Linked DNA regions of Alligator mississippiensis. The protein of the gene in region 2 interacts with the protein of the main gene of each other region in a biochemical or structural test. Links are inferred from orthologs where the notes say so. Each region holds a gene or a part of one and is shown on either strand. Other genes may lie near its edges.

Region 1 (7,265 bases), on a different chromosome or scaffold from region 2:
CCCCTCCCCGCCCCGTGCCACCGGGCACTCACTGCACTTTGTCCTGGGGGTTGGCCTTGCGCCGCCCGCTCTGCACCTGCGCCGGGTCCAGCAGCGAGTGCTCCCAGATGGAGTTGGCCCCGTTGCTGGCCAGCGTGTGCACCATCTGCGGGGACACGGGCGAGTCAGAGCCGGGCGGGGGCCAGGGGCTCGGGGGGGCGCCCGCTCACGCCCCGCCGGCCCCGCGCGCGCTTGGGGGGGCGCGACCCACCTGCAGCAGGGTGGGGGGCCAGGGGCTGTGGCGCAGGTGCTTGACGATGGAGATGTGGCGGCCCAGGCTGCGGTGCACGCTGCAGCACTCGTCGCAGATCAGCACGCCCCGGTTGATGGAGGCCCAGCCGGGGTCTGCGGGGCAGGCGGGCGTCAGGGCCCCGGGGGCCACCCAGCATCCCCCGGCCCCGTGCCCATTCTGGGTCCCCCCACGGTTTTGGGCATGGTTGCTATGGAAACCACCAGGCCCTGGAGTTGCGGCGCTGTAACTAGGGAAACCTAGAGGTTCCCGTAGCAACCTGGCACGGGGGTGCTGGGGAGGAGTACCCCGCAGGGGGGGCAGCCTCAATCTGTGCCCAGGACGATGCTGCGCCCATTCCCGGGGGCCGCCAGCTTGGGGCGGGCACGTGCGGGGGCGATGCCTGGCCCTGAGGGGCACCAGCCCCGTGCCCCTGGGGGAGCGGGAAGTAGCCCCCTGCCCAGCCGGCACCCCCAGGGTCTCGGGCCCAGCGGCTCCCAGCCCAGCTGCAACGGCCCCGTGCCAGTGCCAGCTGCCCCTCACCCACCTGCCCCGCAGCCCGGCCTGGCCTCGCTGCCCCCCAGTCCGGCCCAGCCCCCCCAGCGCCAGCCCCGAGCCTTTGTCCTCGCTCTGGCACTCGGAGAACAAAGGGCCGTTTGAGACGCGAGCACTCGGCTCCGGGGAGGGGGAGGGCGGCCGGTGCCCCCGGGCACGGCTCCGCTCCGGCCTCGCCAGCGTCCGGCGCAGCGGCCGCCCCACGCGCTGGACTGGGGTGCAGCATGGGCCTCGCTGTGGGGGAGCCCCCGGGCACACGCCAGCCGCACGGCCCGGCCCAGCCGCCGCAGTGGAAAGGTCACGGGGAGAACGGGCGCTTTGTGCTGCAGCCGGAGCTGGTGCTGCCCTGGCCGGAGCGCGGCTCCGCTCCCCCAGCCCGGGCATCGGCCTGCCTGGAGCCCCCCCAGCCCTGTCGGTGCCCCTCACTCCCGACCCGCAGCCCCCCATGTCTTGTGGTGCCCTCACCCCCAACCTGTGCCCCCCGAGCCTTGCAGTTGCCCTCACCCCCAACCCATGGCCCCTGAGGCTTTGTGGTGCCCCTCACTCCTGGCTTGCTGCCCCCCAGGCCTTGCAGTGCCCCTCGCTCTTGCCCCGCAGCCCCCCATCCCAGCGGGTGCCCCTCGCTTCCGACCAGCAGCCCCCCAGCCCTGCCGATGCCCCTCACCCCAACCCCTGGCGTCATACGGAGGTGTCAGCCTGGAGGCCCCCCGGGCCACAGCCCCCTGCCCCCTCCCTGCCCCCCGCCCCGAGGAGAGGAGCTCTGGGCGCGAGGCCCATTGTGCAAACGCTGCCTGCAAAGTTCAAACCACCCAATTAGCAAAGCAAAGGCCGAGGCGCCGCAGGCCTGGCTCAGCTGCCGGAGCCGCAGGAAAACAGGTCAAGGTTTCTTTCCTGCAGCCGCAGGGCCCCGCGCAGGCCCAGGCAAGACGTGGCCTCCCCCTCCCCAGCCCAGGGCTGCCCCACGGCTCGGCCAGCCCCAGCCCCAGGTCCCCCGCCACCCGGTGCCCTCGCTCCCACCCCACAGCCCTGATGCCAGGGGGCAGGTGGCTCCGCATGGTGCTGAGTGCAGGCCTGGGGCTGGGATGGAGCAGGGCCCCCCGATCCGTGAGCAGCCGCTGGGCATCTGGGAGCCGCGGAGGCCAGGCACCCATGGGGCCGATGCAACCCTGGCATTGCCCGAGGGCCTTGCCCAGCCCCAGCCCACGCACGGGCCAGCTCCCTGTTGAGGATGCCTGGGTTCCTCAAGGACTCGGGGCCTGGGTGGCATGGTAGCACCTGGGGGGGCTGGCACAGGCCTCAGCATCGCTGGCCTCTGAGCCCTGCAGAGGAAGCCTAGCCGGGGCGGGGACCAGGCCCTCCCCGCGCTTCCTTCCTGCTGGGAACCGGACAGAGCGACTCTGGATGGGCGCGCGGGCAAAGGGGGAGCAGCTGGGCTTCGGATACAGGGCACAGGCTATGGGGCCACAGAGGCATTCACCCTGGCCCTGAGCCGTGGGCACCCGCTGCGCCACCTTGCCCTGGCACCCTGGGCACCGGCGCTCTCGGGACTGGAGGCGATGGGCTCGGGGCGTGCGGCTGGCACAGGGCGGGCACACAGATGGCGCGGGCGCGAGCGCGCTTGGCAGTGACGCGGCTGCATCTGTGCCTCTGCGCGGCTGCCCACGGGAGGCCGCCGGGCACAGACGGCTCTGCTCTGCGGCGGGCGAGAAGCGGGGCCTCCGCCCCCGGCCAACCTGCTCCTGCCCGTGGGCAGCTGCTCCCACGGGCCATGGCCTGGCGGCAGGTGACCAGGGTCAGTGCCCGTGCCCGTGCCCGTGCGGTGCCAGGAGCTGTGCGGTGCTCCCCAGGGCAGGCCCCGCCTTCCTGCCCGGGGCCGCGCTCTGCCACCGCCTGCCCGCGCGGCCGCGGGCACGTCCCTTACCGGTGGCGGGGTGGGTGCGGGGTGGCTGGGGGCCCCAGGGCTGGCGGGGAGCGGGCAGGCACGGCGGTGCCCGGCACGCAGGCGGACCCGCCCCGCTCCTGCGGCTGCGGCGGGGGCTGCGGGCGGGGCGGGCCGGGCCCTACCTGGGGCGCTGCAGTCGGCGCACACCTCCGCCCGCGGCGCCTTGCGGGACATGGTGCGGGCGGGCGGGCGCGCGGGGCCGGGCCGGGCCGGGCCGAGGGCCGGGAGCTGCGGGCTCGGGCTCGGCTCCTGCAGGAAACGGCGCAAGCCCGGCCCCGCCGGAGGAGGAGCCGCCCGGCCCGGCCCCGATCCCGGCTCCGCCCCGGCCGGCGGGGGGGGCTGCGGCGGGCCGGCCCCGCACCGCACCGCACCGCACAGCACCGCCCCGCCTCGCCTCGCCCAGCCGTGCCCGCGGGCCCCGCACCCGCACCCGCACCCGCCTGCCCACAGCCCCAGTCCCGCCGGCCCGGCCCGGCCCGGCCCCGAGCGGGAGGCGGCTGCGGGTGCGGGTGGCAGGAGGCACGGCCGTGCCCGCGCACGGCCTGGCAGTGCCACGGGGGCTGCAGCCCTCGCCTGCCACGCGCCGTGGGCGCGCGTGACTTGACGCCGGGGGCCGTGGGGGGCGCGCGGGGGTGTCGGGGTGGGGCCGGGCAGCGCCCGCGCGGGGCGGGTGGGGGGACACGCCGGGCCGGGCCGTGGGTGCAGGGCCAGGGGCCCCGCAGCGATTACTGTCGCCCGGGTGAGCACCGCGACATGCCGGCCCGGCCCTGCCCGCAGCCCCCGCAGCTCGCGGCTCACGACAGCGCCGGGGATGCCGCAGAGCCTGCGCGGGGCAGAGGGCTCCTCCCGGCCGCTGCCGCTGCAGCACGGGGCCCGGCCGCGAGGATGCTGCCCCTGGCCCCGCGCCCCGAGCCCCGCGCCCTGCGCCAGCGGCGGGGGATGCCCCGGCCCGGCCCCGCCCGCCCGCCCGCCCCGCCCCGCCCCGCGTGCTGGCACGGCCCGGGCACGGCGCTGCCAAGGCTGCCCGAGCCGGGGCGCAGCACGGCGCTGCCCGCGGGAGGCGGCGCCGGAGTCGGAGCCGGAGCCGGAGCCGGGGCCGGGCGGAGCGGCGCGGTGCAGCCCCCGGCCCCGCCCGGTTGCGGGACTACAAGTCCCAGCCGGCCCCGCAGAGCCGCCCGGGCCCCGCCGCGATGCTCCGCGCCGGCTCCGCCCGGGGGCTGCGCGCCCTGCCCGGCGCCCGGGGCTCCCCCCGCGCCGCCGCCGCCGCCGCCGCCCCGCGCCCCGCCCGGCCCCGGCCCCGGCCCCGGCCCGGCATGCCGGCAGCATGAGCGGCTCCTCCGGGCCCCGCGGCCCGGGCAGGTTCCCGCTGCACCGCCTGGTCTGGCACAACCGGCCCCGCGAGCTGGAGCGCGAGCTGGCCGCCGAGCAGGTGGGTGCCCGCGGGGATGGGCCGGGGCCGGGGCCGGGCCGGGCCGGGCCGGGAGGGGCCCGGCCCCGCCGTGCCCCCAGGGGCCCGCAGCCTCCCCCCACCCCCCTCCGGATCCCCAGCTGGCGCGGGGGTGGCGGGCGGGGAAGGGCACCTGCTCCCACGCCACCCCCAAGCCGTGCCCAGGCGGGCAGGATGGCGCTCCGGCGCGCTGTCACGAGGCCTGGTTCCTGTCCCTCTTTGCCTGGGCCACACCCGCCTTTCTTGTGCCAGGCGTGGGCGCGTGTGGCTGTGCGGGGGTCTGGGACTCGGGACAGGCCGAGCCACGTGCGTGCAGCGCCGAGCAGGTCGGGCCAGGGGGTTGTTCCCGTGGCGCTGGGTGCTTGGCCGGGGACCCGGTGGTGCCTCTGGGTTTGTAGCGGGGCCAGGGAGGCAGAGCCCCGTTCTGGGGCAGGGGACACAGTGCTTCTTGCGGATGCCACGCTCGCCCGGGTGCCGCGTGGCATTGCCAGGGCCGGGGAGGCTGGGGCTGGGCTGCCCCCATCCCCCAGCAGCATGTGGGCAGGGCAGGGGGTCTCCAAGAGAGAGGCAGCTGTTCAAGCACCCCAAGTGAGCATCCATGCCAGGGGGTGGCTGAGCCTCAGGGCTGAGCTCCTCCTGGCACGAGCAGAGAGGGGTGAGCATGGCATGCCAGGGCCCACCGTGCTGTGCCGTGCTGGGCCATGCCTGGCCCACATGGCCAGGCCACATGCCCACCAGGCCCCAGTGCTCAGCACCTCTCACACTGCCAGCGCGGGGCTCAGACCAGCTTGCAGTGCCCGGTTGGCATCGAGCCGTGGTCCCTACAGCTTCCTGGGGGATGGATGAGCTGTCCAGGCCCCTGCGTGGTGATGGGGTGATGGGGGTACCCAGGCATGGCAGGGAGGGATGAGGAGTGGGCTCGGTGCCTGGCTGGGCCTGATGATGAGCGGCCAGGACCCCATTCCCTTGCCCTCTGCCATGGGCAGGCCATGGGAGGGGCAGGGTCCCTGTCAAGAGCAGGGGGACGCTCCAGCCTGTCCAAGGGCTCTGGGCACCCCGGGATCCCCAGCAGCGCTGTCCCAGCGATGGGCTCAGCCCCGTGCAGTGGGGACACGTGCCCGCCGAGCTGCAGCATCCCCGGGCTGGCAGAGCCGGGGGCGGCGGGTGCAGGTGCCGCGGGTGTCAGGTTCTGCACGGGTCACCTTGTCAGCACTTTCCTCTGCTGCCGTCAGCGGCCCTGGTTCTGGGCCGACTCCCTGGCTCCGGCAGCCGGCCCTCCCTGCCGCCAGGCCCAGCAGGGCTCAGAGAGCAGTGGGCACAGCGGGGCGGGGGTGTCCCAGGCTGGGCCCGCTTCACACAGCCTCTCTGGCTGGCTGGAGGCAGATCAGAGCCGATTCCCACCCAGCGGGTGCCGGGGCGCGCAGCACACGTACCACCTCCGTGTCAGTTCGGGGATGACCTGCCCTCCAGGCTGTGCCTGCTGCACCCAGGCCCACTGGTGCCCTCTGGGAAGCCGGTGGTGCCCGTAGCCGGCTTGGCCAAGGCTGGCATTTTCAGCGCTGCAGAGAAACCAGAGTTTGTCCAGCATATGGGGAGGATCCTGGGGTAGTAGGGGGGTGCTGGCATGCCCAGCACAGGCCCCAGGCCCCTAGGAGCCCCCAGCAGACCCCTGCATCGCCTGTGCCGCAGAAGCCCCCGGGGTCGGCTCCCTGCCTCCTCCATAGCCCTTGCTGCCCCCCGGCTGCGCCCCTCTCGTGACGGATGGTCTGCTAACCACTGCCCTCGCTCCACGCCACCCCCGGCCTTGCAGCCTGATACTGCTGGTGTTATTCGGCCCCCAGAGCCATGTGCCAGGTGCTGGCGTGGGCCCTGCGCTGCTGAGCCAGCATCTGTCCTCCTCGCTCCGCTTCTCCGGGCCAGGCGGTGACAGGGCAGGCCCCAGCCACGATCCAGGCCATGCCCTGCAGCCTGTTGGCTCCTACTCTGCTCCCAGGCCCGCATCTGCTCCCTCCTCAGCCACGGGGAATCGGCTGGTCCCTGCCCTGGTATGGTTGCTGGTCTCCATCCTGGCACCAGGTCGCAGAGCCCCTGGCCCAGGGGTGCGGGTTTGGCTTCACTACAGTGGGGCGACAGCCCCTTGCCCACTGCCCACAGGGCACTGGGTGGACATGGGCACCATGCTGCCTGCCAGGTGCCAGGGCCAGGGCTGAGCGGCAGGCCAGGGGCCCCTGAGTCCCGTAGACTCCACCCCGGTGTAAATGGAGTGACTCTGGATTGACACCAAGTCCTAGTGCCCATTCCCAGTTTCCTGGAGCCACAGGCCCTGTGCCATCCTGTGCCCTGACATGGCCTGGAGAGGACCCCCCTGCCCAGAGCCCCCTGCCATCACAACCCACAGGCCCAGGGAGCCAGTGGCACCGGCTGCCGGGTGCGCCAGGGGTGTTTTCCTTAATTGGAGCCCTTTTCATTAGAGCAATTAAGAGTGAGCAGTCGCAGCAGAGAGCATTTAATTAACGCGCTGGCGCTGACGAGCAGGAGGCGCTGCTCCCGGCATCAGCTCCACTCTCGCCAGTGCATCGTGGCCTGTGCCGCTGGTGGCACAGGCGGGCACCGAGCAGGCCCCTGGGCCAGGCCGAGACCGGGGCAGCTGCGGGTTTGCCAGGGACCAGGACTTGGCTGAGGGGCAGGTTGTGGTGGGGACGGGGCGCGGGGCCAGGGCTGCGGGGGGGATCCCCCACTTGGCATGGCTGCAGCTGCTGGAGCCATGCCCGGGGCGGGGAGCTGGCTCACGGGTGCAAGCAGCCGGGCCAGGCAGGACGTGGTTGACCCGGGGCACGGGCAGGAGGCCGTGGCCACAGCTGGCTGCAGGCCACGGAGAGGTCGGAGCCCCAACACCCTCCCGGGAGCCCGACAGCCTCCCAGCAACAACAAGCCTTGGCCCGCGGGGCCAGTCTCGCACAAACGAGCATGGGGCAATTAGCAGCTGGGGGGAAGGCGGTAACGAGGACCCTGGGGGGGTATATCAGGCTCCTGCGTGCAGCCGTCTCTAAGCA
Region 2 (7,173 bases):
TGAGCCCATGGTACTTATCTGTGGGACAAGAATGTATGTTGGTGTAGGCTGGGATTGAGAGGCAACTGATACGGTCAATATGTTCTGCTTTCAACATATGTGGCTTCCTATGTGGAAATTACTACTTCTAGAAGCAGAACACATTAAATTGTATATTGATGCTTCCCATTCAGAGGGGGGAAGTTCAGTATGCAGCCATGTTGGTGAAGCCAGCTGCTTCACAGTTTAAAATGGAGAAGGGAAAAGCAGTTGCAATACTCCTTGTGGGTTCTTGGGGTGCCTGGGACCTTTTGCCAATTGGGGGGTATTGCAGTGTTTCCTGCATACAGAAAACTGGACAACTTTCAGTCTAACTTAAGTTCAGTTTACATTAGGGAAAACAATAAAACAAGAAAGGACAAAAGTCCAAAGAAGATAACACAATGTCTCGGTCTTCCTTGTAACATGTTGAATCGTTTCAGAATAGGATGTTTCTTTCCACTGTGAATAGGCAGAATTCTTAAAGCGTACAGGTGCGGTGCACAGAAAACAATGTCACATGCTGCTTATACGGCTGCCTATAGATCAATAATTCACTGCTGGCGCCACACCCACTGGTGTAAGCCATAGACAGGGATCAGTTTGAGTATTCTTATCCTTGTGGTTTTTAAACCTTGTCCAGGCAAAAAAGGGACTTGTGAAAGCTTTTCATTATCCAAGTGGAGAATTATCATAATATTTCCAAGCATGGGCAAAACAGAGTAGAAGAAAAATTTGTTGGTTTTAAAAATTTCCTAGTTTTTAAATTGGGATGATTTTGGATTATTTTTTCTTCTCTTCCTGGTAAAACCTGCAGGAGGGAAAATATACAAGCCCAAATAATTCCAGTCTAATCAAATAAGATTTTTTTGAAGCTTAGAGCTATGTACAGTGCATTTTTAAAAGTATATTTTCATAGCCTCCACATAGGAATATATATTTTTTCCATAATATTTTAATTTGAAAACATTTATATTAATTGGGGTTTTAACAATTGGATGCTTACTCTTCAAATAATTCCCTGTAAGTGCAATGGTTTACCTATATAGAGGCAGTTCCAGAACTAGAACTTGGGGGAGAAAATCCACTAATTCATTGTAGTCCCATTTAATTTTATTGGGCTTCTAGATTATTTGCTTGCCATCACTCATAACTAGTCTGCTGTATGCCACATACACAAGCCACAGGTTGGCCACCCCTGTTTTATAACAAGAGTTCTGATCTTCTGGCTATTTCTTCCTAAGTAAAGCTTGTGTTCACACGGAACCCCTCTGGCATCATTGGGCTTCAGTGCAGACCCACTTAAAGGATGGGGGCCAAGGAATAAATCTGAAGCAAATCAGAAGCAAAAGTGACTGTTTTCCAACATTTACGTTAAAACCTGTGCTTTTAATAATGATTATGTATAAAGTTTTACTGAGATCATTTTGACAGCACAGGTATAATTAGCAAAATCAGTTTTCTTTTCTTCTAGGAATAACATGAATTAGTTTCAGCTTGAATATTTACTCTTTTTCTACATTAGAAAACCAGATCTTATTACTTTGGATAATGAAACTTGGTTTGTGGATTAGTCAACACAAAATCTGTGCTGACCAATGTTGCCTGATTTTTGTAAGTTGTAGGAAGTGGCCCAATATGTGGTGCTTTTAGTAAAGCCACAAATTTCAGAATTATGTGATTCCATGAAAATCTTAGCTGTTATTTTTAAAAAGGTTTTAAACTACTTGGTTGCAGAGAAAAGCTTCAAGAAACCTGTGTTCACCTTTATGGCTTGGATACCAAAGGCAGGTATGAAGAACACAATGGGCATGTCTACATGTGCATTAATGTGATTTTCCTAAAGCATATTAAATTTAGTACCTCCAATATGAGGTAATAAATAAATGTACATCAGGTTGTGCTAATGCATGGTAGTGCAAGCACACACATTTTAGGTGATGCTTAATGTGCACTAACCTATTTCAGGGGTTCCCAACCTTTTTATGCTGAGGATCGGCAAACAGTGGACTGGGAAACTGCGGACCAGCAGTGACTTGGCATACTGTGGGCAGGAAACAAACCCTTTTTTATACTCAGTATAAAAACTGGCTGCCAGTCCAGAGTATGCTAGTCACTTCCAGTCCGCAGTTGGCCAGTCTGCAGTTTGCTGGTCCGCAGTCACTTCTGGTCTGCAGCAGTCAACCTTCCTGCAGACCAGCAGCCAACCCTTTGCAGCCCAGTACCAGGCTGTGGCCCGGGGGTTGGGAACTGCTGGCCTATTTTACTGCACATTAGCTTACTAGCATGGTTTTTAAGTGCTGCTTCAATGCGCAGTAGAATAGGCTACAGCACATTAAAGTGCACATGTAGATGCTCTCGTTACATATTTATTTTTAAAGATTTTTTTTTTAAAGCCAGTATCACAATTCTTTGTGGGACAGACTCAGTGTATGCTTAATTTCAGTACCATGCTTAATGTCACTTGTCTCACACAAACCTGTAACAAGCTGTTTCATGCAGTCCCTGTTTCCTTTTGTGCATTCCAACAGCCCTGCCGCTGCCTCTGCTGAATTGAGGCTCTGGGTTTAACAGGACTGAACCAGTCTGAAAATGCTGCCATCAGTAATCAGCACTGCTGAAGGCAAATATTTAAAATAATACCATGTAGTATCAATCAGCCTGTACTTGAGGTTTGAATTAGAAGACTAACACTGTTCCCCACGCTTTACGAAATAAGCTCCCTCCACCAAAGTGAAAGAGCTTTCAGTGTACTATAATACCAGTTGTCTATGGATCTCCTCAGTCCCTATAATAATGACTTCCCTATTTACTGGAAGACTGTCATTCTGGTACTGAGGGACTGGTGCTGCTGAGGAGTCCCTGTACAGACAGCTCTTTGGTGGAGATGCAGTTTATATTGGAGAAAGTTCTTTTGCTGATATGGCTTAAGTGTGTTCCCTGATGGCAATAAGCTATAGCAGGAAAGGACTTTTTGTTAACATGCTGGTATTTACTGACATTGCTTTATCAGATTAGTGGCTTGCTTTTTTAATTTTAAGTAGCTACTCATAGACACTATGCTACTAAAACGTTGTCGTGTAAAGCAGGCCTTAGGGCTGTAAGGCAGTGCATCTGACCACATGAAAGCAGTTTCACTGGCATAAAGGTGCTTTGTGCTGGTAGAGGTATTGCTACCAAGACTGGAATGAGTAACCATTATAACAAGGCAAAGATTTGTTTGTTTTTTTGCGGGGGCGGGGGGGGGGTCATTCCATTGTTCATTGGGTCCAGGGCAGAGTTGGAGTACAGTTAGGCATGCTTTCCCTTTGAGGAGGGAGCAAGTGAACACAGGGAGCAGCGCAGGATCATCTTCATAAGGATATCTGTGTCAAGAACATCACCACAGCACTATTTCGAAAATAGGCGAGGTGTTTTCACAGAAAATGAGGGCTGGAAGGGACTGTAGGACGCCATCAAGTCCAACCCCTGCTCAAAGCTGGACATCTCCCAAGTCAATTAGCCCAGCCAAAGTTTTGTCTAGCCAGGTCTTCAAAACCTCCAAGGATGGAGACTCCACCACCTCTCTGGGGAACCTGTTCCAGTGCTTTCCTACCCTCGTAGTGGGAGAGTTTTCCCTAATATCCAACCTAAACTCCCCTTGCTGCAACTTGGGACCATTGCTCCTTGCTCCATCACCAGCCCCCGCTGAACCCAGCCGGGCTCCAACCTCGTGCCAGTGAACACTCGTGTGATCTCCCCAGCCCTGGGGCTGTCCTGATCTCTCGCTCACCCTCCAGGCTGCTGGTTGCAGCCTGCCTGAGGAGCAGAGGGCGGCGGGCAGCGCTGGAAGAGACCTCCCATGGGCAGTTGCGAGGGGGAGGGGCACAGTAGCGGTGAGACCCTCCTCCCTCCCCTACACCGCGCCCCCGACCGTCGGACGCTACCACTACCTGGGGGGAAGGAGGTAGGACACGACACCAGAGGGTACTACCATTGGCCGCGGGACGGGGGGCGGAGGGCACTACCATTGGCTGCGGAGGGTGGAGGGCACTACCATTGGCCGCGGGACGTGGAGGGCACTACCATTGGCTGCAGGGGGGTGGTAGGATTGTCTCCAGCCACTGCTGGCGTTAAGGCGGTGACACCTAATTGATTGCCAACATTTTTTTTTTTTTTTTTGCTCTGGAAAACAAGAGCGCGCCCCTCAGAGGCGCTGGTTGTGGGCAGAAGCGGAGCGCAGGACAGTCCCCCTCCTCCCTCGCCGGGTGTGTGGCGCGGGCAGCGTCCCACGCACGCGCACAGTAGCGCAGCCCTCCGCGCTCTGGAGCCCAGCGTTCTGGGGCTGCCGCTGGCCCGAGTCTCGGCTCCGTGGGGGAGGGGCCTGGACCCGGCGCGAGCCGCGGGGCGCGCAGTGCATTGTGGTCGCGCAGTGATTGCTGCGGGCGCGGGGCACGCCGGGAGCGGCGGCGGCGGCGGCGGTGAGAGTGCGGGTGAGGGGCCCGCGCCGCGGAGCGCCCCAGGGTAGCAGCAGCCGGAGCCGGGCCCGCGAGGACGAGGCGCGGGCGCCGCCATCCCCGCGCCCGGGGTATAAATGAGTGAGCGACGCGGCAGGAAGGGCAGGATCCCGCGGCTGCGACCCCAGCGCCCAGGAGCTGCGGCTGCTTCCCCCGCCCGGAGCCGCGGGCGAGGGCGGCGCTGAGGCGGCAGCGGACACGTTCCCCCGCCCATGGTCCCGGCGGCGCCGAGGGCTGGCAGCGGGGAGGAGAGGAGCTGAGGCCGGGCTGGTGCCTGGGGGACTCGGGGGCCCTGCTCTGCGCTCCGCCGCCTCTTGCTCCGGCTTGGGGCGCCGGGACGGATATTGCAGGGCGCTGGATGGCAGCTCCGCGCCGCTACAGGGGCTCGCGGCTCCTGCAGCGGCAGTAGGAGAGGAGAAAGCCGCGGGGGAGACCTGGTGCTGCCGAAACCCTGGGCCCACGGTGACGCCGCTTTGTTTCATCGACCAAGGTAAAGCAGCGAGCAGTGGGTGGCTGGCGCCTGCCTCAGATCAGCTTAAAAGCCCCAGTATAAAACAGTGCTGGTGCTTGGGACAGGCCTTCCCGGGGAGCTTCTCATTAATTCAGAAGTGCGGGCTCTGCTTGTCACAAATAAGTTTAACAACTGCCTTAGGAACTCCAATATTAGGAAGTAGGCACCGTACTTTCGTTAGGGATAGTTTAAAAGTTGCACGTGCAGCTTCATAAACCATCGTTTGTTCAGTTCCCGTGAGAAAAGTTGATGGCAGTTGACACTGTGGTACTGTTGGTTATGTATTTCGTTGCTTTTCAAATGCAGGAGGACAGAAACTTCCCTTGGTTCTGAAGTCTGGGTGGCCCAGGATTCAAACCAGGCTGTAAAATGTAGGATCCCTCCAGCATGAGGCCTTATGCTTTTGCCATTACTAAGCATGGTGGGGTGTACAACAACGATACTTCCAAGTTTATATTTTTATCATACTCTCTGCGTGTGTCTCAGTCCCTCTTTTTATATCTGACAGCTGCTGATGTAGCGTGCTGGCTAGCAGTCAAGTCCTGTTTGTTTAGTATTTAAGACCTTGAACAGCCTTTCTTTTCGTTTTCACTTTCTCCGGGTTGACCTCTTGGCTTTCCCTGTGGCTGCATCCGGGTGCAGAAATCCGCTGTTGCTAATTTTCATGCAGTAAAATTGTCCAATAGAGATTTTTGTGGCTTCGGTGGCAGCTGAAAGTAGTGCCTCTTCCCAGGATGGTGGAGTGCAGTATCAAGAGTTTGAAAGAAGTATGATATAGGCTTCAATATGTGTGGTTTGTGGGTTTTTTTGTTGTTGTTTTTGGGTTGAGGCGTGCTTAATACTGTTTAAAGGTCCAAACAACTTTTTAAACAAAGCACATGCATCCTTTATAAATTGGCATCAGAAATAGTGTGGTAGATGTGTAGCTTTTCAACAGAGTTGGCATTGGTAGGAAGTGATACTGTAACAAAACTGCAATAGTAATATTTTTCAAACCTAAGACACTGGTTTATATAGCCTTAAATCCAGTAAACTATAGATGTTTGGCTGTGTGCATAGGGTTAAGCTGTAGCAAGTCGGGATGTCCTATTTGTAGAGGGGGGAAATCCCCCACTCTGTATACATGCCCTTTTCAGAGTGACCAGTTTACTTCTGAATGAATGAGAATTATTTTCTCCCACTTTGAAAAACCTATCTTTTAATATTGTCCAACATACAACCCAGTTGTTTTTCCTGCAGCTGGCACAGGGGAATTTGTTTCAGGTTTGGTCTTAGGCTTTGCTTCTCTCTTCACATACAACATGGTGTCTTATCTAGGTTAGGTTAGCTTCTAGTATTGCTGTCACAGGTGGGATTAAACAGATGGTGTATTACAGATACACACGTATGTGGTGTAGATAAGATTCTTCAATAGTTTTTTTTTTTTTTTTTCATTTTATGTATCTTGTTTCAAGGGCCAAATCAGTTCCAAATTCACTTGGGCAAATCTCAAAAGCCAAGTTTCAAATTTCAACTGAGCAGAGCTCAGTCATTCAAGTCCATGTGGCTCTACCGCTGGGGAAGTATCTTCCTTCTCAGACGCGTCAGTCTGGGGCTTCGGATACTCCCCGAAACTCTGGCAGGCATCCTACATGCAAGCCCAGGGCCCAGAGACCCTGGGGTTCAGATGCCCCCTAGTCTTGTTTGCTCCTAACCAAAAGATCAAGGAGTGAGCCAGGAAAAGCAAGAAAGCAGTCCCACTTTCCTATGCAACTGTGTAGTCGAGTTTCCCACGTTTGGGAAAACTCTCGGGTAAGCCTGCCCAGAATGCAAGGGACAGGCCTCACTCTTGGGGGGGAAAAACATCATTGTATCTCCCTAGGCTTATGAACATTTTTGTTTTTGGATTTGTATTCTGTACTTTATTGCTAATAATTAATGGCCTGAATTTAATTTCTTAATTTCAAGATGATGTGTGAGGTGATGCCAACCATCAGTGAGGCAGAGATTCCCTCTGGGGGAAATGGAGGCCATGGTTCAAGCTCCCCGTTACAATCGGATGCTGATTCCCATTTTGAGCAGTTAATGGTGTCTATGCTGGAAGAGAGGGATCGTCTCCTGGAAACACTAAGAGAAACTCAAGAGACACTAGCTTTGACACAGGGCAAG

What was found. The genes of interacting proteins can lie anywhere in the genome.
Region 1: the proteins of PPFIA1 (region 2) and GIT1 form a complex in vitro, tested with the Homo sapiens proteins (2 studies listed by BioGRID). The link is inferred for Alligator mississippiensis from reciprocal best matches to the Homo sapiens genes PPFIA1 and GIT1.

What each region holds. Positions count from the first base shown.
Region 1 is NC_081837.1:1,503,997-1,511,261, forward strand, and holds the start of GIT1 (ARF GTPase-activating protein GIT1), read right to left. Parts: upstream 3,016-7,265; 5' UTR 2,940-3,015; coding exon 2,888-2,939; intron 385-2,887; coding exon 251-384; intron 146-250; coding exon 33-145; intron 1-32. Other genes in the region: ANKRD13B (ankyrin repeat domain-containing protein 13B), read left to right, coding at 4,090-4,194. UniProt on the Homo sapiens protein: GTPase-activating protein for ADP ribosylation factor family members, including ARF1.
Region 2 is NC_081825.1:215,795,173-215,802,345, forward strand, and holds the start of PPFIA1 (liprin-alpha-1), read left to right. Parts: upstream 1-4,168; 5' UTR 4,169-5,004; intron 5,005-6,972; coding exon 6,973-7,173. UniProt on the Homo sapiens protein: May regulate the disassembly of focal adhesions. May localize receptor-like tyrosine phosphatases type 2A at specific sites on the plasma membrane, possibly regulating their interaction with the extracellular environment and their association with substrates.